Linked DNA regions of Pelodiscus sinensis. Each later gene encodes a partner of the first gene's protein in a complex. Links are inferred from orthologs where the notes say so. Each region holds a gene or a part of one and is shown on either strand. Other genes may lie near its edges. The genes, in order: RAB9A, SGSM1 and NDE1.

Region 1 (7,526 bases):
CCTGCTTATTAACAAGAGCCAAACACAGTCCCTTTTAGGCATTCCAGCACTTGTCTCTATGAGAGCCAAATATGGTAAGGGGTTATTGAAAATCTCATTCACCATATCTGAGAATTAGGCATTTATCTTCATGGCAATATGTATCTAAGATCTTATCCAGACGTCACACTGTAAACAAATCCTCAGTAAACCACTTTAAGATTTACTAACAAAAGAAGCCCTAGTCTACCCTATGGTGTTATTGCAAAATACTAAGCAGAGCATCCACACTACCAAACCTGTTATTTCAAAATAACTGGCTGGTTATTTCAAAATCTGTATTCCTGCTTTCTTTGTCGGAGAAGGTTATTTAAAAATAGTTAATTTAGGAGTTATTTCAAATTTAACTATTTCAAAATAATTTCGTAGTGTAGACATGCCTGAAGAGAGTTATAAATGGTTAGTAGATCATATACATATAAATGATTGCAAAATCCTTGTATCATTTGTAGCAATGATGGAATAGATTTCTGGCTGGTAAAGTCTCTCTAGTAACTTATAAATGATTGGAAAGTACTCAGGTTTGGTTATGCTTGTTGTCATTCCTCGTGGATTTCCAGCTGTGTTTGTTAGTGCTATCAACTGGCTAATAATGCTCTCCAGAGTACACAGCTTGTTCATTCAACCACATCTCAGGCATCTTCTTCAGTCTTTGAGGCTTGTGCGCACATCTTGGACATTTGTAAGCTAGGAACCTAATCATCAGTCTTTGCTTCTCACTACACCAACTCTCATCAACCAGAGATAATGCCAGATTTGGATGGGCAGTCCTGCAATCACTGTTCAAGTAGATTGCAAACTCACCTCAAGTTTAAATTGCTTGTTAGTCCCCTATGGTGGAATGGACATGTGCTATCTGGTGAAGAAGAAGAAATTGTTACTAACCTTTTTTTTTGTAACCTTTTTTTTCTTCTTTGAGTTGTCAAATTTCTTCCCTTCTCTGAGTCTATTCAATAGGAAGAAATTAAGAGGAGTTGGAGGCAGCTCCTCCCTTTATATCTGTGAATAGTGGTGCAGTGTTGCATAGCATTCTGAGTGGGTGGTGGAGGGGAAATCTCCAATAACTATGCACAAGGTGTGCACACACCTGTAGTGGAATGAACAGATGCAACACATCTTGAAGAACAAAAGTTACAATAAGGCTACATCTAGACTGGCATGATTTTCCGCAAATGCTTTTAAGGGAAAACTTTTTCCATTAAAAGCATTTGCGGAAAATAGCGTCTAGATTGGCACGGACGCTTTTCCGCAAAAGCACTTTTTGCGGAAAAGCGTCCGTGCCAATCTAGATGCAGTTTTGCGCAAGAAAGCCCCAATAGCCATTTTTGCAATTGGGGCTTTTTTGTGCAAAACAATAACGCGTTGTCTACACTGGCCCTCTTGCGCAAAAGCATTTGCGCAAGAGGGCTTTTGCCCGAATGGGAGCAGCATAGCATTTCCGCAAGAACACTGACAATCTTACATGAGATCATCAGTGTTCTTGCGGAAATTCAAGCAGCCAGTGTAGACAGCTGCCAAGTTTTTCCTGCTTTTGCGGAAAAACTTGCCAGTCTAGACGCAGCCTAAGAGTTTAGTAACTTTCTTTTCTGGGTAAATGAGAGGAAAATAATCTTTCACAGACTTTTTGTGCTTTCTGTCACTGTCCAATTGTACATATAAATTTAGAATTCAAAGGAGAAAGTAGTCATATAGTAGATTTTCAATGGCCTTGCAGTTGTACTCACATTTTTTTTAGTTCAATGTCATTTTGTTCTGCTCATTTTATCTACTATATATCTGAGAGAGTTTGAGTTTCTGTCTGTGTGTCCCTCTGTGAATCTGTTTGTTCAATAACTCCTCCTAAATAGCAAGAGCTAGAACCACCAAATTTGGCATGTAGTTTCCTCTTCTCATAACTTAAAGAAATATCAGGGTTTGGTTTTGTCAGTGTAATCCACACACCTAGGCTCTGTCTACATTGGCATCCCTTTCCGGAAAAGGGATGCTAATGAGACACATCGCAATTGCAAATCCGCGGGGGATTTAAATATCCCCTGCGGCATTTGCATTTACATGGCTGCCGCTTTTTTCCAGCTTGGGGATAAGCCGGAGAAAAGCGCCAGTCTAGACGTGATTCTCCAGAAAATAAGCCCTTTTCTGGAGGATCTCTTATTCCTACTTTCAATAAGAGATCCTCCGGAAAAGGGCTTATTTTCCGGAGAATCACGTCTAGACTGGCGCTTTTCTCCGGCTTATCCCCAAACCGGAAAAAAGCGGCAGCCATGTAAATGCAAATGCCGCGGGGGATATTTAAATCCCCTGGGGATTTGCAATTGCAATGTGTCTCATTGGCATCCCTTTCCGGAAAAGGGATGCTAATGTAGACACAGCCCCAGTGTGGTTCACCGTCCCATGCAGTGACACCTAGACCACAACAACAGATAAGAACAAGAGACCTCTACAACATGGGCTGAAAGCCAACTGGTTTTATAGATCAGGCTGTAGAGGCTTCTATACTAAGCTCCAGGTTCAAATGCACCCTGTGGTTACATCAGGACAATTATATGTGTATAGTATGTGATTGCTTCCGGTCCCCTGCCCTGAAGGACGGAAGCAATGCTGAGTATGTCTTCTACTTTACAGATATAATTAACAAGCTGTTTGTTCTGCCTTTCAATTGACTAGTTAATTTATTATATAAAATTAGCAATTAGTACAGTACATTGTTCCATTTCATATATTCATATCCAGTCCTGTTTTAAGAAATAAGATTTTGTGAGGAACTGTATCAAAACTCCAGTCATCTGAAGAAGTGGGCTGTGCTCACAAAAGCTCATGATACCATCTACATGTTTTGTTAGTCTATAAAGTGCTACCAGACAATTTGTTGTTTTTTAAGTGTATCAAACACTTAACTCAATTCTGAACATGGAAATACTGTCTCTTACGGTTCACTTAACTTTTCCTTTCATGCTGAACCAGGTTTTTTGCTTGACAGAAAATTTAGCTAAAAAAGGAAAGAAAAACATAGATGAAATTGCAGAGAGGCATATCTGAAATGTGTGGTACAGAAAAGGTGTGGTCTTAGTTTCATTATGCACTATTTTATTCTAAGTGCAATTTCTCAATAAGGGGTGAGGCCAGAGCATGTGCAGTATTGTTCATGAGTGATGTAATAGAACCAGTCATAATCTCAGACTAGATAAAACAATGCTATGGCTCTGGTGAGCTATTGTCTACCTGCAACTATTTCATAAACCTACTAAATCAGTGTCCCTTTTTTGTGCCTTTTGTGTTACCCAAGATTTCCCCACTTCCTGGGCCCACTTTTTACTTTCCTTCACTGCTCCTTTAATATCCCAATGTTGCAGCCACCTGTTTCTGGCCAAGAAGAGCAAATGCCTCTGTGTCCATCAATACTGCTCCAGCCACTAGCCTCAGGGGATTTCTCTACATTCACAGGCACAAAAGGTTCAGTCACCTTCCAGAGGCTAAACAAATTGCCTCTCGATTGCTTTCTAAGGCCTTGACTACACTAACTCCTGCTGATCTACTGTGGGATGTGGCCTGTCCTCCTGATGACCCAACGCTGGATGCCCACTCAGCCAGACCTCGAGATTGGAGCAAAGGGGACCTTAGTTCCTTCTGAATTAGCCGCTGAGCACAGGGAATAATTATTTTAATCCCAGTACAAGGCTGTTGTGTCTGGGTGGCTGATGACTCAATGTTTTTCTCTCAACAGGGATACTAGGTGGCAAACTTTTTTTTTTTTAATAGAAAAAGCGCGGAGGCGATGGGCAGAGTGGCAGCCCAACGGCAAAAAGCAGCCTCCAAGTGCCTGCGCGTCCGTCTCACAAGGCACAGAGGACGAAGCAAGTGGCGCGACTAGAGCGAGAGGCCTGATGTCTCCCAGGACCCTTGTGGGCGGGCGGGCTCCCTGCCGGGCGGCTCCTCCGGGCACTGGCCCGGCCTGAGTCGGCCCGGTGGGGGGCGGTGTGAGGGGAGGCGGGGCGGGGGCCCGCACTGAGCGGCTGTCGGGTGAGGGGGCGGCCGCTCCCTTCCCCCCCCCCGCAGCGGCCTCGGGCGGGCGGGGCTTGCGCTCGGCCCAGGTCACATGACCTGGAGGGGGCCTCCCCCGCCGCCATGTTGTTCCTCCCCCTCCCCTCCCCTGTCTAGCTGCTGGCTGCAGCGGCGGGACGGGAGCTGCGCAGCCCTGGCTCCGACACCCGTGGCGGCGTCTCCCCGGCAGGTAACAGCGCGCGGGCACCGGTCGCGGCGGCTCGGCGGGTGCGGGCAGCCCCTCCCCCCCGCCACTGCCCCGCAGCGGGGTCCGCCCTGGCCCGGGGATGCCTGCGCCAGTTGCTGGGAGCCGGGGGGGGGGTGGCAGTTGCGGGGTCCGGGCCCGGGGGGGGGGGTGTCGCTGCGTGGAAACGATCCATTCAAGATGGGGGCCGAGTTGCTGCTGCTCAAACTTGTGGTGCGCGCTCATGGGCTGCGGCGTGATTAGCGATCGCGTGACTGCGGGAGCGATCCCTTGCCCTGCAGGCGCCGTGTCAGCACCGAGGCAAGTCACCCGCCTGTCACGGGCTCGCTCCGCCTCTGCGGGGGAGGGCGGTGTGTATGTTTCCGTGACTAGCAGCCCCTGGCCACGGCATGTTCCCGCGGCCCGGCTGAGAAGGAAGGCAGGCAGGCTTTGGCGCCTCAATAGGGTGATTTCCAAATCTGCTTTCCTCCGAGTAACTCTGATAACAGTTCTAACAAGCAAGGAGGTAACTACAGAGAAGGGAAAACGCATGTAGCTTATATGCGACAGGAGAGAGGGAAGTTCCCACATTAGACTGGGACAAACATTTTTTGGTTAATTAAAAAAAATTCTTTCCAAACGTAAGAGAATGTATTGTCATTTGTCTGACTCTGTGTAGTTAAACCCCATCATAATTTCAGTGCTGTTCAAAGTCCTGTGTCAAAACTGCCAGCATCTTCTTTAGTTTCATAGTCAAATCATGTAATTTTAATACTATTGCTGCTTCAGAAATAGCTGAGCAGGTGTAAAGGCAAGAACTGGAGTGTTCACAGGATTCATATATATCACCCATCATAGTAGCATCTAACAATAGAATAGGTAAACTAGATCTGCATTTAATCATGCAGATCACAGAGAATTGTTGGAGTCACAGAGAATTTAGTCTTCACCCATCCCAGTTCTTATGGAGTTCTATTTGCTTTTAAAAATACACTTCTTTTATAAAGGAAAAAAATATCTAATAGGTCTTGTGATAAGTTTGAAAAGTGGCTAGTGTGTTTGGTTCAGCAAATAACTTTCATTCTGACTGGTACTACGCCCCCTACTCTTTCCTATAGGACTAAGGATGTAAATGGTTAACCAGTAAAGTATTCTGAATGATCTTTACATCCCTACTATCAGCTAGATCACCATTTCTCAAATTTTGTTGCACTGGGACTCAATATAACAAAATTACTACACTTCTTTATACACAGTGTTCTAGAATCAGGGTTAACATTAAGAGGTGGGAAGCAGGACAATTGCCATGACCCCACAAAGCTAATTTTCTCAGGCATCAGCTCCAAATTCCAGCGAGTCTATTGCCGACCTAGGAAATCCCATTAAGATAACTCATGACCCGCTTTAGATTTGAGATCTACAATTTGAAGATGACTGAGCTAGATAGCTGCTTGCTTGCTCCTCCCACTATGACCTGTTGACCAATCCTTATCCTAGGTGAGTAAATGGCTTCTCCACTAACAAGGCAATGGTCGCTTACTATAATGTTTAATGAAACTGTAGAGCAGACTGAACTTCAATGGAAACTGGTATACTGAACCTCCTGTCTCTCTCTAGTAGCAATAAGCAGCATTTATGGGATCACCAGACGTGTCTGTGCACTGGGTTTCCACTGATCATGACAACATTCTACACATCAGTTGGGAAGACCAGGGCTGACAAGACATACCAGGGATATTACCAAATGTGTGTGTGTTGTAAAAGTGTAACTGTTTACACTCGGGAGGAGTTGGAAGTTGTGAGTAGGGGATACAGAGGCAGCAGTGTTGGGGTAGGCGGCTCAACCTGCCTCCCACCTTTGGGGACAGCCAGCACATGCGGAAAGCCAGCTGCATGTATCAGCTCTGCCTGCTTCCCTACCTGTGGGAGGTGGGAGCTGGCATCCGTGGGGAGCTGGCTCCTGCCTCCTTCCCCCCTTTGCAGCCTCTAATACAGAGGCAGCAAGGAGGGGGGAAAGGAAGAATACGTATAACTGTTAAGATTAACTGATAAGGCCAGGCTTATTAGTTAATTGTGCAACCAGGTATCTGCTGACATCTCTAGTGGGTAGGTGGGTCATAATCATCTGAGAGCAGGGAACAAAACAGAAAAAAATCCACAGTAGAGCTGCCTTGAGATACAGATCGGGTAGTCTGTCATGCATGTGACGATAAGCTATCCAGCAGAGGATGTAAACTATAAGTACAGCAAAGTGATAGAGAAACAATGCAGAAGGGCAGCCTCACCACTGAATTGCATCCAAGGGTGCAGCTAGATTAAATTTGAGACAAAGGACCTATACCATTGTCTAAACACTGTCTTGTAATGGTACAGTTAAACCAAGTTATTTAAAAACCTGTGTGGAGGTTATTTGTTACCTTAAAAACCTGTTTCTAATTGATTGAGACTGAAATAAACCTGGCTCAAACTGAAATAAGGTCTTGCGTACACATGGAGGTATTTGGGAATAGTTACTCTGAATAAGGATGTTAAGTATCGAGTAAATGACTAATCATGTAGTTGATACAATTTGTATTGCGTATACGATTAGTTGATAAGAGGCTGCTGTGGCGTAGCAGTGTAAATGTAGTAGGAACCGGATGTGTAGGCAGGCCAACTCCTACTTCATTTAGAGTGTAGAGTTGTAGTGGGAGTAATTCTGGGACCCGGCGCAAGGAGGAACAGCTGGGCTATGTCTACACTGGTGGGTTGGTGTGCCAGAAATATGCAAATGAGGCTAAGCATGGAATATCACCGAGCCTCATTTGAATACCTAATGAGCCGCCATTTTTGCGGAAGAGGCTCTTGTGCCAGAAGGAGCATCTATACTGCCCCTTCTTGCGCAAGAAAAACCCTCTTGCGCAATGCTGCTACACTGATTATTTTCAGGAACTTGCCAATAACCCTTCATACAACGGGATTTTTCAGGACTCTCCTCCATGTCCGTCTTTCTCTCTCCTCCTCCTCCTGCCACCCCCCCCAGCGCTCTCCTCCACCTCCTGCCTGTCTCTCCGTCTCTCTTTCTCTTCTCCCCCTCCTGCCTCTCTCTCCCTTTCTCTTCTCTTCCCCCTCCTGCCTCTCATTCGGGGCACCGCGGAGCCCAAATGGCTGTTTGGGCTCCTCGTGCGGGGGCAAGCAGTGCAGGTGGCTGTTTGGGCTCCATGATCCTCATGCAGTACGGGAAGTGCGGAGCCTAAACAGCCGCTTGCGCCGCTTTCTCCTCCCC
Region 2 (7,499 bases), on another chromosome or scaffold:
CTCCTCTTTTCTAAGCTGAGAAGTCCCAGTCTCTTTAGCCTCTCTTCATATGGTATCTGTTCCAAACCCCTGATCATTTTCATTGCCCTCCCCTCTCTCACCCTCTCTCTTCCCCTCTCCCACCTTTTTTTCCCAGTCTCCCCGAGTTTTGTTCAATAAAGAGAGTTTCTATTTTTGAACACACGTGTCCTTTATTTGGTACATCAGGAAGGGGAGCTAGGGAGGGGTAAGTGGAAGGAGGTGAGGGAGGAATGGGGTATGAGCCCCCGATGGGGAGGACTGGGCTGGCTCTGCGGGCTCCTCGGGGTGGAAACTCTCCTGAAGCCCCTTGATTGACCCCCCCTCCGGATGGCAGCCTGCGGCAAATGCAGCCGGGCTGATGGCCGAGTGCTGTGATGTGCTGAGTGTGGGCACTCAGGGCACTCCAAGCCAGGACTGCTTTGCAAGCGGAGAACCCCTGAGAACTGTCTGTCCGGGGTGGGGATCGGGTCCCTTTAAGCACAGCCCTCGGCTAGCCTGAGGCAGCATCTCCACGCTCTAAGTCCTAATCTGATGCCCTGCCGGCACTGCTTCCGGCCAGCCTTAACCTCGGTTCAGGGTCCACTCAATGTGGACATGCTAGTTCGAATTAGCAAAATGCTAATTCGAACTAGTTTTTAAGTCTAGATGCGCTAATTTGAATTAGCTTAGTTTGAATTAACTAATTCGAACTAAGTTAGTTCGAATTAGTGCTGTAGTGTAGACGTACCCTAACAGATTTATTAGGGCAGTGGTTCCCAGCCTGTGGTCTGTGGACTCCTGGTGGTCTGCAACAGTATTATAGGGGGTCCACAGAAAGTTTAAAAGTAAGGATCGGGCTCCCCTCAGGGCTGGAACTTTTCTCTACGTGATTCTCACCTGGAGCTTGCTGTTCACGACCATCTGTCCTCCTGCCACCAGCTGCACTGCCGTTTACGCTCCAGCCCTCTTCCCCCTCCCAGTCCCGCAGTGGGCCTGATCTTTTCTTTTTCTTTTTTTCTCCCCCAGGACTTCATGCCCTGCCAAGGGCAGAGTGCTGAGGCAGGAGATGCCTTTGGCCACGAGAGCCTCCTCGCCTGTATTCTCTGTGGATGGGCAGGAGACAGAGAGGGTGGGAGCTGAGGAAGCAGTGCAGGCCAGGGGACATGTTGGCCGCCGCATTATCAAGGAATGGAATGTTTGAAAACAGCTATATTGTTTGAGGGTTCCATAAAATGTTAATAGATTAAAAAGGAGTCTGTATGCTCAAAAAGGTTGGGAACCACTGCATTAGGGCACAAGGTAAGCTAACGCCTCCTTATTATAGGCAAAGTGAAAGCAAGGCCTATCAATGCAAACATTCATCTGACATGCCTCTGGCTGGAAATAATCGTAGGCTCTCATTATTTGGGGAGAAGCTCTTCTTCATTCTCTCTAGCCAAATTCTGCCTAAGTATAGCCAGGCAGATGGCTCTTCACCAGACAGGCATATTTTATGAATCAAAAGACCCCTCATTTTACACAGGGTTAGTTAGAACACAGATGAATTGCAGATGGCTACCATGGAAGAGGCTTAGCATTAAGCTGGTGTCCAAAGGGTCTGGCAGGGTTTCTCCAAGCTGCTGAATGCTGAAATCACAGCTATCATGGGGAATTATTGATGAAGTTGCGTAAATATCCCAGAGAAACTCCAGTAGGTGGATTGCTATTGGCATTAGCAAAAGGAAGCTCTGCTCAGGACCTGGGAGAATATGTGGTTACCTGGATGGTGTTGCCAGCTTCTGGCAACTTGCTTGGCCCTGGCTGGATTCCCAGCTGTGGCATGGACAGAATTTGGTACACTAAATGAAGGTCACAAGCAGAATGAGAGGAATAGGGAATACTTCTCTGCACTTGTATAGGATCCAGCCATCATTTGAGGATCTCTCTTTGCTTTGCAAACATGAATTAATTCAATATTCACTGAACCCTTCTGGTGCTGGCATTCTAACCTCATTTTTCAATTAAAGAAACTGAGGCCCAGTTCAGCTTTGCTTCACCAAGCTGCCAGCAGCAAGACGGTCACAACTTATTTGCATATGTTGAAGTTGATTGCAGCTGCCTTCATCTTTAACATGGTTTGTCGTTATTAGGAACTGAACTGCAAAGGAACAAAGAGCCCGTTTCTATGGAAATGTCCTTAGAAACAACAAATGAGGGAAGAGAAACACAGGAGATATGTTAATGAGACAGAGGCAGAGATGTTTCTATGTAATTTACAATATTTCCGTGTGACATCTATGTAGTTTAGTGGGCTAGCCCTCTCCAAATCATCACCACTTCCTTGATCTTTACTCTCTTGATACTGGAAAGGCAATGGGCTAGCTCCTGCAGATGGGCATAACTCCACTGAAGTCAATGGGGTTATTCCACTTTATGTCTGATAAGGATTTGGCTCACACATAACTTCCAAGACTTTTGGATCGAGAAAGACCATAGTAAACCAGGGGATTATCTCTGTAGGTTGGAACCAAGGTTCAGGTTTATCTTTTCCATCCATGCAGGGAATACATTTTTCTATGTGCACCGAGGCATGGGCAGACATGCACCACCAGTAGAAACAAAAACTTAGCTGTGGGTGCTCTGCTAATCACCTGGGCAGCATTTGAATCTTTCCCAAGCAGCCATTCAAGTGCACAGCTCACAGGGAATATTGGTTGCAGGCTTTCTGCATTAAAGCTGCAGGCTGTCACCAGGGGCACCATAATTCAGCGATGTCATGCTAAACACAGCAAGCTTGACCCTAATTTCACTTATCTCTGGCCCTACCTCCACAGGGCATGTCTACACAGCAGGGCAAAAGTCAAATTAAGTTACGTTACTTCAGGTACGTCAATTGTGTAGCTGAAGTCTAAATAGCTTAGTTTGGCTTTTGGCACTGTCTACACAGCAGGAAGGTGAAGGAACAACACTCTTCCTCTGACTTTCCTTATTCCTTGTGAAATGGGGGTGACCATGAGTCAAAGTAGGAAGTCCTCCAGTTTGACATTATTTTAAATAATGGCTTGCTGTGCAGACGCACACTATATTATTTTGAAATAAAAACAGTTATTCCGATATAATGCTGCTGTATAGACATAGCCTCAGTTACCGGCATAAGTGAGCAAAAGGGCCAGGCCTCCAGTGTACTTGTGAGTGCATATATAAAGTCATGGGGACACTGTGACAAAGGTGTCAATGCATACAACACAAACAGTCAAATTGTGATGCACAGTGAGTGGTTCATGAGAGGTTTGTAGGCTGGACCAATGATGATGATATACACCCACTGGATCATTCTGGATAGCTGGGGTCAGCCCCAGGGTAGCTGGGTCCACATTTGTGCTAATTTTGCCCCTCTTACTAAAAAGCAAAGGCCAGCTGGTTCGGAGGCTAGCCTAGGAAACCTCCATATGGGGTACGTCTACACATCATAGTTATTTTGGAATAACAAAGTGTGCATCTACACACAAGCAGTTATTTCACCAAAATGTTGAAATAATGTCCAGCCGGAGGACTGCTTACTCCGACTCCTGTAACTCTCATTGCACGAGGAGTGAGGGAGGTCAGAGGAAGAGTGCTTTATTTCAAAATAAGTGCTGTGCAGATGTGCCCAAATTTGAAATAAACTATTTCAACTTAAGCTATGCAATAAGTGCAGCTCAAGATGTATAGCTTATTTTGAGTTTAGCCCTGCTGTGTAGACATACCCCATCTGATTCCCTGCCACAGACTCCCTTTGTGCAGAGTCACTTAGGCCCAGTTCTGTAAAGGTATTGAGTGCCTAATTCCCCTTGACATCAGTTGAAGTGCCTATCTGCCTTCAGAGACTGGGGCCTTAGCTTCTGGGCCTCACTTCTGTGCATAGCCTAGGGGATAATAGTATGGATCTGGCCCTGGTATTATTAAGCACAGGGAGGGCTAATAGGGTTACCAGCTGGCTGGTGTTTGACTGGCCTGGTTTGTTTATGGATTTGCCAGTTGCCAGAAAAAAATATTGTAATCTGCCCGGTATTTTTACATGGGTAGAAAGATTTGCAGTATTCTCCCAGTACAGTGCGGTAGCGAAGGAGGAAAGTTTTGTGGCCAGCTAAGGATGCTGCAGTGTCCCCAGCCCTCATTTGATGCTCTGGGTCTCATGTTTACACATTATGGCCCTGGGGGGGGGGGGGGGGGGGGGGTTGCAGAGCTGCCTACTGGTTGGGAGGCTTCCTTGGGGAGGTTACTGGGGTGACCCCTGGGCGCCAGGTGGAAGCAGACTCAGAGCTCTGGGCTGCTCTGAGGGGGAGGGGGTGTCCCTGGTTTGGTGTCCCCCCCCCCCCCCCCCCGCAGAGCCCGGCGCCTGGGCTCTGCAGCGCATGGGCAGTGCGCGCTGGGAGGGTGGGACCACGCAATGGGTGTTTTAGGGGCTGGGAGGGGGCAGACAGACGCGGCTGCAGGACGCGCCCCGCAGGCTGCGGAGAGCCCAGCCCGACTCCGCACCTCCCCGCCCGCCGGTCCCAGGCAGTGGGCGGCGTCGCTGGCCCAGCCCAGCCCGGCTGCTGCCCGGCTCCCTCCCGCGGGCTGCTGCAGAGGCGCAGACGCCCGGCGGAGGAGCAGCACGATGGCCGCGGCTCCGGCGGGTAGGACGGGGCGCCCTGTCGGGGGGATCCGGGCGGCGTGGCCGGGCGGCGCCGGGGCCACTAACGCGCCTCTCCCCCTTCTCCCCACAGAGGCGGAGACCCGGCAGAGGCTGCTGCGCACCGTCAAGAAGGAGGTGGGTGCGGGGGGGCGCCAGATATGCCGGGGGAGGGGAGTGGAGGATGCGCCAGAGGTCTGTGCACATCTGGATCAGCCAGTGCCTGGGTTTGGGGGAGGCACCGTATGTTTTTTTGGAGGCATTACATGTAGCTGCACATCTGGATTAGCCAGTGCCTGGATTTGAGGGAGGCACCGTTTGTTTTTTGGGGGGTATCACATGTAGCTGCACATCTGGATTAGCCAGTGCCTGTATTTGAGGGAGGCACCGTTTGTTTTTTGGGGGGTATCACATGTAGCTGCACATCTGGATTAGCCAGTGCCTGTATTTGAGGGAGGCACCGTTTGTTTTTTGGGGGGTATCACATGTAGCTGCACATCTGGATTAGCCAGTGCCTGGATTTGAGGGAGGCACCGTTTGTTTTTTGGGGGGTATCACATGTAGCTGCACATCTGGATTAGCCAGTGCCTGTATTTGAGGGAGGCACCGTTTGTTTTTTGGGGGGTATCACATGTAGCTGCACATCTGGATTAGCCAGTGCCTGGATTTGGGGGAGGCACCTGACGGTTTTTGAGGAGTACCACAGTCAGCTGCATAGCTGAATTAATTGGTGCCTAAGGTTTGAGGGGTAAGCTCCTGACGGTTTTGGGGTTACCACAGGTGGCTGCATATCAGGAGCCTGAGGTATGGGTGAAGACTAAAGAATGCTCCAGATGTTGTTCCGGAGCATGAAGGGGTCAGTGCACCTGGTTGCCTATGGAATGGCTCTTATTGGTTGGAGGGATAGGGCTATATCTCTTCCCCTCCCATCATGTTCATTTTGTTTGTGATTGCTGCAAGGTTGTGAGTCCTGATGGCTCTGTTCTGAACAGCCCCGTCTCCTATTTGGCCCTCTCAGCCAATGGGGATCTAGTGATTTGCGGTGTTGCAGGGCTGGGGTTCATCTGAGATGCAGAGTTGTTTTGATAAGCAAATCTTTCCTTTCCCCCTATCTCCAGATTGAAGTGCTGGGATCTCTGCTTGTATCTGTTGCAACCATTGCCAATAACTGTCCCTTGCTCCCAGCAGGCTAGGTCACCAGGGCCCTGAGCCAGCAAAGGTTGTGTAATCACTAGCAGCAGTTAGGAGTGATTTAGTTGGACAGTCAAAAATTCTCATCCGTTTGCACCTTCTAAAGGAGAGATTGGCTTGAATCCTGGGTGACTGCATGAGCAAGGTCCCCATCACCTCTCTGGGAGGTGAATTGCTGGCCACGTCCCTTCCCTGCATGGAAAGAATTCAGCAGAGTGAGGGGGAGAGCCGGTTTGCTTGCTTCCTGAGGGGCTTCAGCAGGGGAAGTCAGCATCAAGCTCACAGCCACTGGGTTGCTTATTGGCATGGCTGTCCCTGCTGGTACATGCACAGGTCTCGGGTTTTCTAACATGACTCTGTGAGTAAGTAGTTCGGAACGTGAACACCTCATTTTGGGTGCTGAAAAGAGGCACATGAAGCCTGACTGTTTATGTCATTTTGAAAAGTGACTGCTTGGTCACTGGCTCCTGTTCCCGAGGGGGTTTTATTGGCTGCATTGACACAAAAGAGCTTAGTATTGGCAGGGATAGACTTTCCCTGAAGGACTCTCGGGCTTGATTTTTATAGCTGTCTACAGGTAATGGAGGAGCAGCAGGGCCCAGTGATTAGTGGAAGCCTGGGCTCTTGGGTCCTCATTCTAGCAGGTCCTCTGATCTGCCATGTGACCTTGGCAGAGTCACCTCAGCTCTCTCTGTGTCTCAGGGATGCTATGAGGTTTGTTAACTGCTATTAGATCTTCAGAGTCAGGGGCCTGTACAGATATGAAGGGTTGTTTCCATTTATAAATCCTTTAGGGTATTGGCATTGCTTGTACCATGTTAGTATCTAGGAGCCCAGTTGTGAATCAGAACCCCACTGTATTAGCCATGGTACAGACAGAATAAAGAGACAGCCCCTATCCCAAAGAGCTCCCAGTCTCAGTGCTGTAACCATTAAAGGCTATGCTTTGATAACACACAGCTACATTCTCCTTGGGTTGATTGGGGAGAGAGCTGTGTTAGCAGCCGTCCTGGAGGTGTACTGCCTGGAGGTGCTTTGCTAGATTGCCCCTTGTCTCGTTTTGCCTCTCCCAAGTGAGAGCATCCCAAGGAAAGCATACACTTTGTCTATAGTGGAATTGCAGACATGAGTCGTTTGTGTGAGCAGAGCCTGGGAACTTAGCACCCAGGTTCAGCTGTCTTGATCCTTTATTTTTCCCTCTTTTCAGGGTTTTAGTCAGCTCCTTTGAGAAAACTCATGGGAGGGATGTGAAAGGTTAACTGGTAAGCATCACCCTTAATGGAACCCCTCCAGTCTTCCCTTTAATTGGTTAACTGGTTAAACATCACGTTTTTACATCCCTAATTCAAAGGCCCAATATTTACTCTGCTTAAAAAAGAAGGCAAAGCAGCATCTTTTGGGGTGATAGGATTCTGGGCTTAACCCAAGTCCCAGGTCACCTTCACCCCTTGCCTCCTCGCCAGAAACGGTGCTTTAGTGATCATTTTAACAGTTGTTTTGGCTCCATCTAATCAGGGAAGTGCAGCCCGCGGGAGCCCCCTCGTTCTTTGGAACCCGCAAGTGGAATGTATATTGCACAGATTGTGCGTGGACCCTTTCTCTTCTATTTTGACAGTGTGGGACTTGCAAAGAGGAGCAGAATTATTGGTATTTATATTACCATATAAGTGTGGTA
Region 3 (7,638 bases), on another chromosome or scaffold:
CAGCTTCATCTCTATGACCTACAAGGAGAGGCTGAGGGATTTGGGTCTATTAAGTTGGCAGAAGAGAAGAGTGAAGGGGGATTTGAGTGCAGCCTTCAATTACCTCAAAGGATAGTAAGTAGTAAGATAATTGTTAAGGCCTTAACAAAGATGCTTATTATCTTACCCATTACAAAGATAGCTTCCCCAGTTATCACCTCTAATATCATTATCTCATAGACACTCACCTCCCCTCCCCCCATCCTTCCTCTATTCTAAAATCTGATTTGTCTATTGTACATGTGTTCACTTTTTTGATTGTATCCCTTTGGTATATAGGGTCATGCCAATTTTCTTCCACAATTTGATCTGAGGAAGTAGGTCTGACCCACAAAAGCTCATCACCTAAAAACCATCTTGTTAGTCTTTAAAGTGCTGCATAGTCCTGTCTTTTGTTTCAGATTTTGGTAGTCTTCTTACAAACGAGGCAATTACAATAACCATTATTATTTGTTATTATTTGTATGGAAGAAGTGCTTAGGAGAGGAGACCCAGTCTTTGACTAGGAACCCATTCTTCTGTTTTGGAACTGGATAATCATTTCAACAGCTTAGCTTCTGAAATCTAAATCTTGCTATAAAAAGCTTATTGTGAAACTCATCAAAATTCAACCTATTTAACATGAAATTTAAAATTTTAATGTTTTAATATTCATACAAGTTATTCTTAAAGTCTTAACAATACTGTACAAATGGTAACTAATTAATATTAAAAACCAGCAGAATATTGGACATTGATCCCAATCTTGCAAACATGTATGTATATGCTCAACTTTATTCAATTTAAGCATGTCTGTTTGCAGGATATAGATCATTGTCAAATGGAGTCTGGTCTGTTTTCTTAACTTATCCAAAAAACCAAACATTTTTAGTAAGTTATGGGTAGAATTAAGGAGTACTGTCAATTTGGTTTTTTGAAAAAATTACTAATTTTATAAACTTCCAGAGCTAGTACAACATCTTGTAGCTGTGTGTTCAGATTTCCTTTAAAAAAACAAAACTTATATAGGTATGCCAACCTGCAGTTGAGTATACGGTTAAGCTATAAGCCTTATTGGTTATTCTTATCAACTACATGCATTTCCCTCCCATTGCTGCCGCTGTACCAGAGGTGGCAATGGGGTCGGGGGTGGAGAACGGTAGCCGGTGCAATAGGGAGTTCAGCTTTTAAGATGGCTCTCTTTCAGTGCTGGCTCCATGGAGCCACCTCCTCCACCCATGCTGCTGCCTGTATCGGGGGGGGGGGGGCAGGGGATACTGCCACGGAGCAGCCTCTGTCCGCAGCTGGCCCAGGCTCACCGTGGACAGAGACTGCTTCATGGATGCCAGGACAGCCTCTGTCTGAGGGAGTTCAGATCCCCCATAGAGAGGGGCTTCTGCCACCCCATGCTGCTGCCTCTATAGCAGAATCAGCAGAGCGTGGTGGCAGGCAGGAACCAGTCTGTGCGAGGCGCCGATTTTTAAACTAGCTCCCCTCATGGACCGGTTCCTGCCTGCCACCCTGCAGTGCTGCCTCTGACAGAGAGGCAGCAGCGCAGGGTGGCAGGATGCTCCTCGGGAGTGGGGCCAGGAGCGCACTGGCTGCTGGTCCTACCCCCTGGGGACTATTGAATAGTCATGGAACCGATAATATTTTGTGTGGTTAAATGACTGTTCAGTTATTCGCTGTCTAACATCCCTAAACTTATAATTGTAGGGAGATTTTTTTCCCTCCAAATCTGTAGATGTTTATAATCTTCTAGCTACAGGTGAAATACACAAAATGATCATATACTATAAATCCTGTTAAATTCATAGAGTAATCAAACAAGAAAAACAACACAGGGTCAGAACTTGAACTGGTATAAATGGGGGATGCTCCATTCATGTCAAAATAACAGCTCCCATTTACACCTGCTGAGGATCTGATTCCAAAAGTGCTTTGTTAACTTCTCAGTTGTAGATATTTTAGTTGTTGAATATCAGAGGGGTAGCCGTGTTAGTCTGAATCTGCAAACACGACAAAGAGTCCTGTGGCCCCTTATAGACTAACATTTATTGGAGTGTAAGCTTTTGTGGGCAAAGACCCACTTTGTCGGATGCAATGAAGTTGAGCTGTTGAGTGTCCCTTTAATATCTGAATCTTCTACAAAAACATGAACTGCCACATCAAATGGCCCGATCCCCCAAAGACTCTAAGTATGTAGGCACTCCTGTTGGAGTTATAATAATGCAAGTGTCTAAGTCTTTATAGGATTGGGTTCTAAGGACTCAAGCCCAGATCCTCAAAGATATATAGGTACCTAACTCTCATTTAAATGAATGGAATCAGAGCCTGAACTTGCATTTTTGAAAACAATGGGAATAGGACAAAGTCCTCTGTCTTCTGCTTATGTATGTGGGTGCCCATCATCGGGTTTCTTGTTAAACTGGCAGTTGGATGTGCACAATAACTAATAATAAGATAATACGAGTAGTCGTGCAGCACCATAAAGACTAACAAAAATATAGTATCATGAGCTTTCGTGGGTAAAACCCACTTCATTAGATGAGCTGCAGTGGAAATAACAGAAACCAAGATATATATAACAGCAAAAAAAAAAAAAAGTATCTGTTAATTGTAAGACCAGTGCTAGTTAAGTGGTCTGGAAGTGTCCCATTCTTAGTTTTTGATGTAAAAATGCAGCTGTTAACGGCAGGGGAGATTGGCTTTATAATGCAACATTTCTCTGTAATTGGATGGTGAATTTCTTTGTAAAAGAATGACTATTTTTAAATTCATGATTGTGTAACCAGGCAGGTTAAAATGTTCCCCTACAAGTTTATGTGTGTTACCATTTCTGATATCTGATTTGTATCAATTTTTCTTTGTCATAGAGACTGTTCTGTTTGGCCAATATACATGGCAGAGGGGCATTGCTAACACTTGATGGCATATATCACATTCGAAGTTGTGCAGTTGTATGAGCTCTTGATGATGTGGTTTATGTGGTTAGGTCTTGTGATGGTGTCGCTTGTATAGATATATGGACAGAGTTGGCAACAGGGTTTGTTGCAAGGGTGTTCCTGGGTAAGTGTATTTGAGGTGTGATGTGTGGTGGCTGGACAGGATTTGCTTCAGGTTGGGGGAGGGGTGTTTGTCTTCCTAGGTCTTTGAGAGTGGGGGATCATTTTCGAGGATAAATTGTAGATTGTCAATGGTGCACTGGAGAGATTTAAGCTGGGGGCTTAGGTGATAACCAGTGGTGTTCTATTATTTTATTTGTTGGACCTGTCTTGAAGTAGTTGATTTCTGGGTACTTGTCTGGTTCTGTCAGTCTGTTTCCTCACTTCCTATTTTATGTGTTATCATTTCTGTCTGATTTATAATAATCTTTATATCTTAATAATAAGATACTCAGTGACGTATGTGGGTTCTATCACTCACTAAAGTAGTAATTTGTGGTTCTGAATCCTTCAGGAAGCAAATACCAGACACACCTACTGAGCAGGTATTTGTATGCATTATAGTATAGACACACACCTATGGTTCTTTAGCAATACTGAGTATGTCTTATCCGTATTAATTACTAAGCCAAAGGAACTGGATTCAAATTTCACTAACATCAAGTCATAGAGTCTTCATTAGACTTTTGGATCAGGCTTACTGCTGTGGTGAACATTCTTGTACTCAGCATCCTGGAGATACAAAACACCATTATGGGGTGCTCACATCACTCATAGGTTCTGTTTAGTCCTACTGTGGTTTCTTGTGTACTTTGTGGAGACATGTAATCAAAAATGAGATGTAAGTAAATGCTGCATTCTAATGTCTCATAGTGAACCTAATCTTAGTACTGTTCACTTCAGTGAGAGAAGTATGGCACAAAGAGTATCTTTAATGTATACATTGTGTACTTTTATGGCATTTAAAATAGTGAAGGCTACATACTGAGGTAAGCTTTCGTTAAAACTCACAAGTCCGACCAAACATGATTTTTAAATAACCAAAGCGTGAGGAAAACTTTATTTCTTAAAATTATGGGAGTGTGGGAAAATACAGTTTCTAAAATTATGAGCGGAGGCTATTTAGACTCTACTCGCACTACAGAGCTTGCAAACACTAATGCGAGTGCTTAATTTTGGTCAGTTAAAAATTAATCACGGATATATGGCAATTTGCAGCATTAGCACCCATGTCTTCTTATGTCTTCGGTGAAGCAAGCCCCAAGCACGCGTATGGATGGTCTAAAATAAATATTGCACCAATAACAAGAGGAGGAAAGCTGGAGTCTCCCAGGCGATACATTGCTTGCGCAAGACATCGAGCTCCTTAAACGGGGGGAGGTGCGCATGAGATCCTTGGGGCTGTGCTGCGTCATGCCCTGAGCTCTCAGCCTTATCTCATCTCACTAGCCTGCCGCTGCCCCCCGGCCCGACTGCAAGTACAACTGAAAAGTTAAAAAAAAAAAACCCTTCGAAAGACAAAAGTTTCCAAACGTTCCAGGAGCAATATTTTACCAGAGCTGATTGGAGGAGCTCTTCAGGCCACGTGACCCTACAGCCAATAGGGTGTTGGCCCGAGCTTGGTTGTAATGGTTCGGATGGAGCACCGAGGGGCAGGGTAAGAGGCTGGGACTCGAGTCGCGCTAGCCCGAGCCAGTGGCTCTAGGAGTGGGACAGAGGGTTCCTGTGCCCCGCGTGGGAAGTGGCAGAGGCTGGAGCTGGAATCTTTCTCCTGTGGAAGTGGTGAGCGCTCAGGGCTTTGCTGTGTCTCTTGGAAGTTTGGGGGAGAGCAAACTCCTAGGATCCGCCTATTCCCTCTCCCCTTGTGTCTGCCCTGCTGTGTGGGGTCGGAGCAGGGAGGGTTTCCACGTGGCCTTGTGGGGGGGACGGGAGTTGGAGAAAAGCAACAAGAGCCCCTTCTGCCCACATCCTGCATCGCTCTCCTCTGAGGCTGTGGAGGGCATGGGGCTCGGAACAAAATAAGGCTCCCTGCTTTCTCTATGGCTCCCAGCCCTAATTTTCAGCCTCAGCCGTTTCTGGAACCGGACTTTTATGTTTTGTCGAAATGTGTAAATGTCCGCAGTAGTTTATTTTCCTTTCTGGGTTTGGACTAGCAAATACAATCAGAATCCCTTCTGCTTGGGAGAACAGGCTCGTGGGTTGAGGCCAGGAAGCCCTAAGGAACAAGCTGATGTTTCAAGAGAGAATTGTCTTGATCTGCCGAGTTCCCATAGGACTTAAAAGAATTGGATTTGGATGAGTACCAGGATTCTTGATTAGGGGCTTTTTTTCTACTGAAACCCATTTTGCACAGAGACTCCTGTGCTTTGATAACCTTTTTGGACTGGACTGTTAAATAAACTACTAATTACTGTTTGGGGGTAACCCCTTTCTTTTTATCCCTTTTTGTGGCATTTAAACAAAAAGAAATAGTCCCTGTTGTGACATGAAGTTCAGCTTAGGAAGCAGCTTGAAGATAATGTATAGTTTTGGTAAGTTGGTAGAGGGTGTGAAAACCTCTTTTCTACCAGACCTGAGAGCCTATATTCTAGTGGTTAGAGGAAGATGCCCCATATGAACCTAGTTCTATCTCCTCTTACCCTGTTAATGGAACACAAATTACTTGTCCAAATTAGGGATGTTAAATATCAGTTAATTGAATAGTTGAGTAACCTCAAGAATTCTTATCGGTTAGTCGACTATTCTGTAGTCCCTGGGAGCGGGGCCAGCAGCTAGTGTGCTCCATCCTCATGCCTGAGGAGCCCTCTACCACTCCATGTTGCTGCCTCTGTATCAGAGGCAGCAGTGCAGGGTGCCAGGCAGGAGCTGGTTCATGAGAAGAGCCAGTTTAAAAAACAGCTCCCCTCGCATACCAGCTGCCTGTCCCCCTGTGCTGCTACCTCTGATAAAGAAAAAGTAGCGTGGGGTGGCAGCAGCCCCCATCTGGGGGGATCAGAGTTCCCGGACCCATTGTGAGCTGGAACTGAGCGGGGCTGCCTGCCCACCTGGCTCCTAATACACTTTAAATGCAGAGCCACAGCAGAGGTAAGTCCCGGACCCATTTCAAGCCAGGACTGAGCCAGACTGCTAAAAATTTTACTGGCGGGGCAGGAGGTGGGAAATGCATGTAGTCTATAGCTTTTGCTTATTGGTTAATTGACTACACTATTACATCCCTAGTTCAAATAGAATGTATAGACTCTATGGAAGTGTGGGTTGTGACAGTTCTACCTTGTTCTTACCTTTTGAAAGGGTCTTATTCCTGTTCTCACTAATTTTTTTTGGAGGGGGGGAAGGAGGGCATGAATCTGCTCTGAATGTTGTTGACATTGTTAACCAAATCAAATAGATCCTTAAAATATTTCCTCAGAGCTGTTTTGGCCTGGCTTTTGCAATTTCATATTAGAATATGCCATATAAAATTCTCCTGAGTTTGCTTAGCTCTGATTCTAATTACAGTATTTGAATCCCTATACTAAAATTACTTTGAAGATGGCTAACAGCGATGCCACGGTGATTACAAACTAGTGTTTGGCAGTACTGTCATCACATTGGTGAAATCACTTCCTGGAGTGACACATGTAACCATTATTTTCCTCACTGTAAAAGTTCATCCCATGTCCCCAGAAAACTCCTGTATGAGACAGAAATTTTGTAATGTCTGTGACCAGCTCAGCTGCTTACAGGCAGGAAGTATGGCCAGATCTTTCCTTCTGGTTTCTACATTTACAAAAACAAATGAGGTGCAGCCAAACTGTGTGCATTAGATAAAGTTAGAACCTTGCGTTTTGATGGCAGTAATAAAGTGTGAGCAAAATGCTGGTAGAACCCTCTTCTCAAAAAAACTACAGAATTGTGTAATGTATAATTTGGTGTGATTTAGCTGTGTAATAGTAGCCATCTCCCTTGGGGAACCTCACGCAATTAGCCCTGCCTGCCACTCTTGGTATGAGATGTGAGGTTTAATTAGTAGAACTAGCTGGGTATGGAAGAACTGCTAATACCAGGAAGCTGTCAGTGAAAGAGAAGAGATGTTCAGGGACAAAGACAGCTGGAGCGAGTAAGTTATAGCAGAGAACCCTGACTGAAGGAAGGCCTGGGAGATCCTCAGTGGAGGGGAGAGTGACTGAATCAGAGAAAGCTTTGTTTGGAAGTTTGATTTAAGAAGAGGGCAGCAGTGACAGTGCATCTATCTGCATAGGCCCCTGCCATTGAGGGCGTAGTTGAGAGGCCGCAGCCTGTTCACATGTGGCAAACATAAACTGTTACTAAATTTAAAAACAACTAATAGTCTTGCAGCTATTAAAGACGAACAAAACATGTAGATGGTATCATGAGCTTTCATGGGCATAACCCACTTCTTCAGATGAATGGATTTATTAAAGGTCCAGTTTCTAAATAAATAGAGGATGGGAGGAAGAGAGGAGGAAAAAAAGGGAAAGAAATAGAGTGTCAGTGCTACATGAAGCTGATAGAGAAGGCACAAATTGTTCTTAAGTACCCATTGTTTAGTATTGTGTGTCATTAGGATGTGGACTGTAGTGGGCCATCCAGCCAATGTCTTTATTCATACCTTTTTGATAGGAATCTAACCTGTAAACTTCTAAGGCTTTCCTATGTAGTTGGCTTGTGGAAT

The links.
Region 2: the proteins of RAB9A (region 1) and SGSM1 are in contact, whole or in part, in a crystal structure (PDB 4QXA), measured with the Mus musculus proteins. The link is inferred for Pelodiscus sinensis from reciprocal best matches to the Homo sapiens genes RAB9A and SGSM1. Residues at the interface, in NP_062747.1 of Mus musculus: Phe37, Thr39, Ile40, Gly41, Val42, Glu43, Phe44, Leu45, Trp61, Arg68, Phe69, Leu72, Phe76; in NP_766306.2 of Mus musculus: Leu256, Leu257, Tyr258, Gly259, Lys260, Asn261, Asn262, Tyr277, Asn294, Met297, Asn298, Gln361.
Region 3: the proteins of RAB9A (region 1) and NDE1 are in contact, whole or in part, in a crystal structure (PDB 7E1T), measured with the Homo sapiens proteins. The link is inferred for Pelodiscus sinensis from reciprocal best matches to the Homo sapiens genes RAB9A and NDE1. Residues at the interface, in NP_001182257.1 of Homo sapiens: Ile40, Val42, Phe44, Asn46, Gln59, Trp61, Arg68, Phe69, Ser71, Leu72, Pro75, Phe76; in NP_001137451.1 of Homo sapiens: Asp99, Gln102, Thr103, Ala105, Ile106, Gln109, Leu110, Tyr113.

What each region holds. Positions count from the first base shown.
Region 1 is NC_134711.1:213,171,892-213,179,417, reverse strand, and holds the start of RAB9A (ras-related protein Rab-9A), read left to right. Parts: upstream 1-4,460; 5' UTR 4,461-4,505; coding exon 4,506-4,582; intron 4,583-4,639; exon of another isoform or gene 4,640-5,758; intron 5,759-7,526. UniProt on the Homo sapiens protein: The small GTPases Rab are key regulators of intracellular membrane trafficking, from the formation of transport vesicles to their fusion with membranes.
Region 2 is NC_134725.1:38,031,304-38,038,802, forward strand, and holds the start of SGSM1 (small G protein signaling modulator 1), read left to right. Parts: upstream 1-4,445; 5' UTR 4,446-4,618; coding exon 4,619-4,637; intron 4,638-4,727; coding exon 4,728-4,771; intron 4,772-7,499. UniProt on the Homo sapiens protein: Interacts with numerous Rab family members, functioning as Rab effector for some, and as GTPase activator for others. Promotes GTP hydrolysis by RAB34 and RAB36.
Region 3 is NC_134726.1:18,250,746-18,258,383, forward strand, and holds the start of NDE1 (nuclear distribution protein nudE homolog 1), read left to right. Parts: upstream 1-4,600; 5' UTR 4,601-4,620; exon of another isoform or gene 4,621-4,745; intron 4,746-7,638. UniProt on the Homo sapiens protein: Required for centrosome duplication and formation and function of the mitotic spindle. Essential for the development of the cerebral cortex.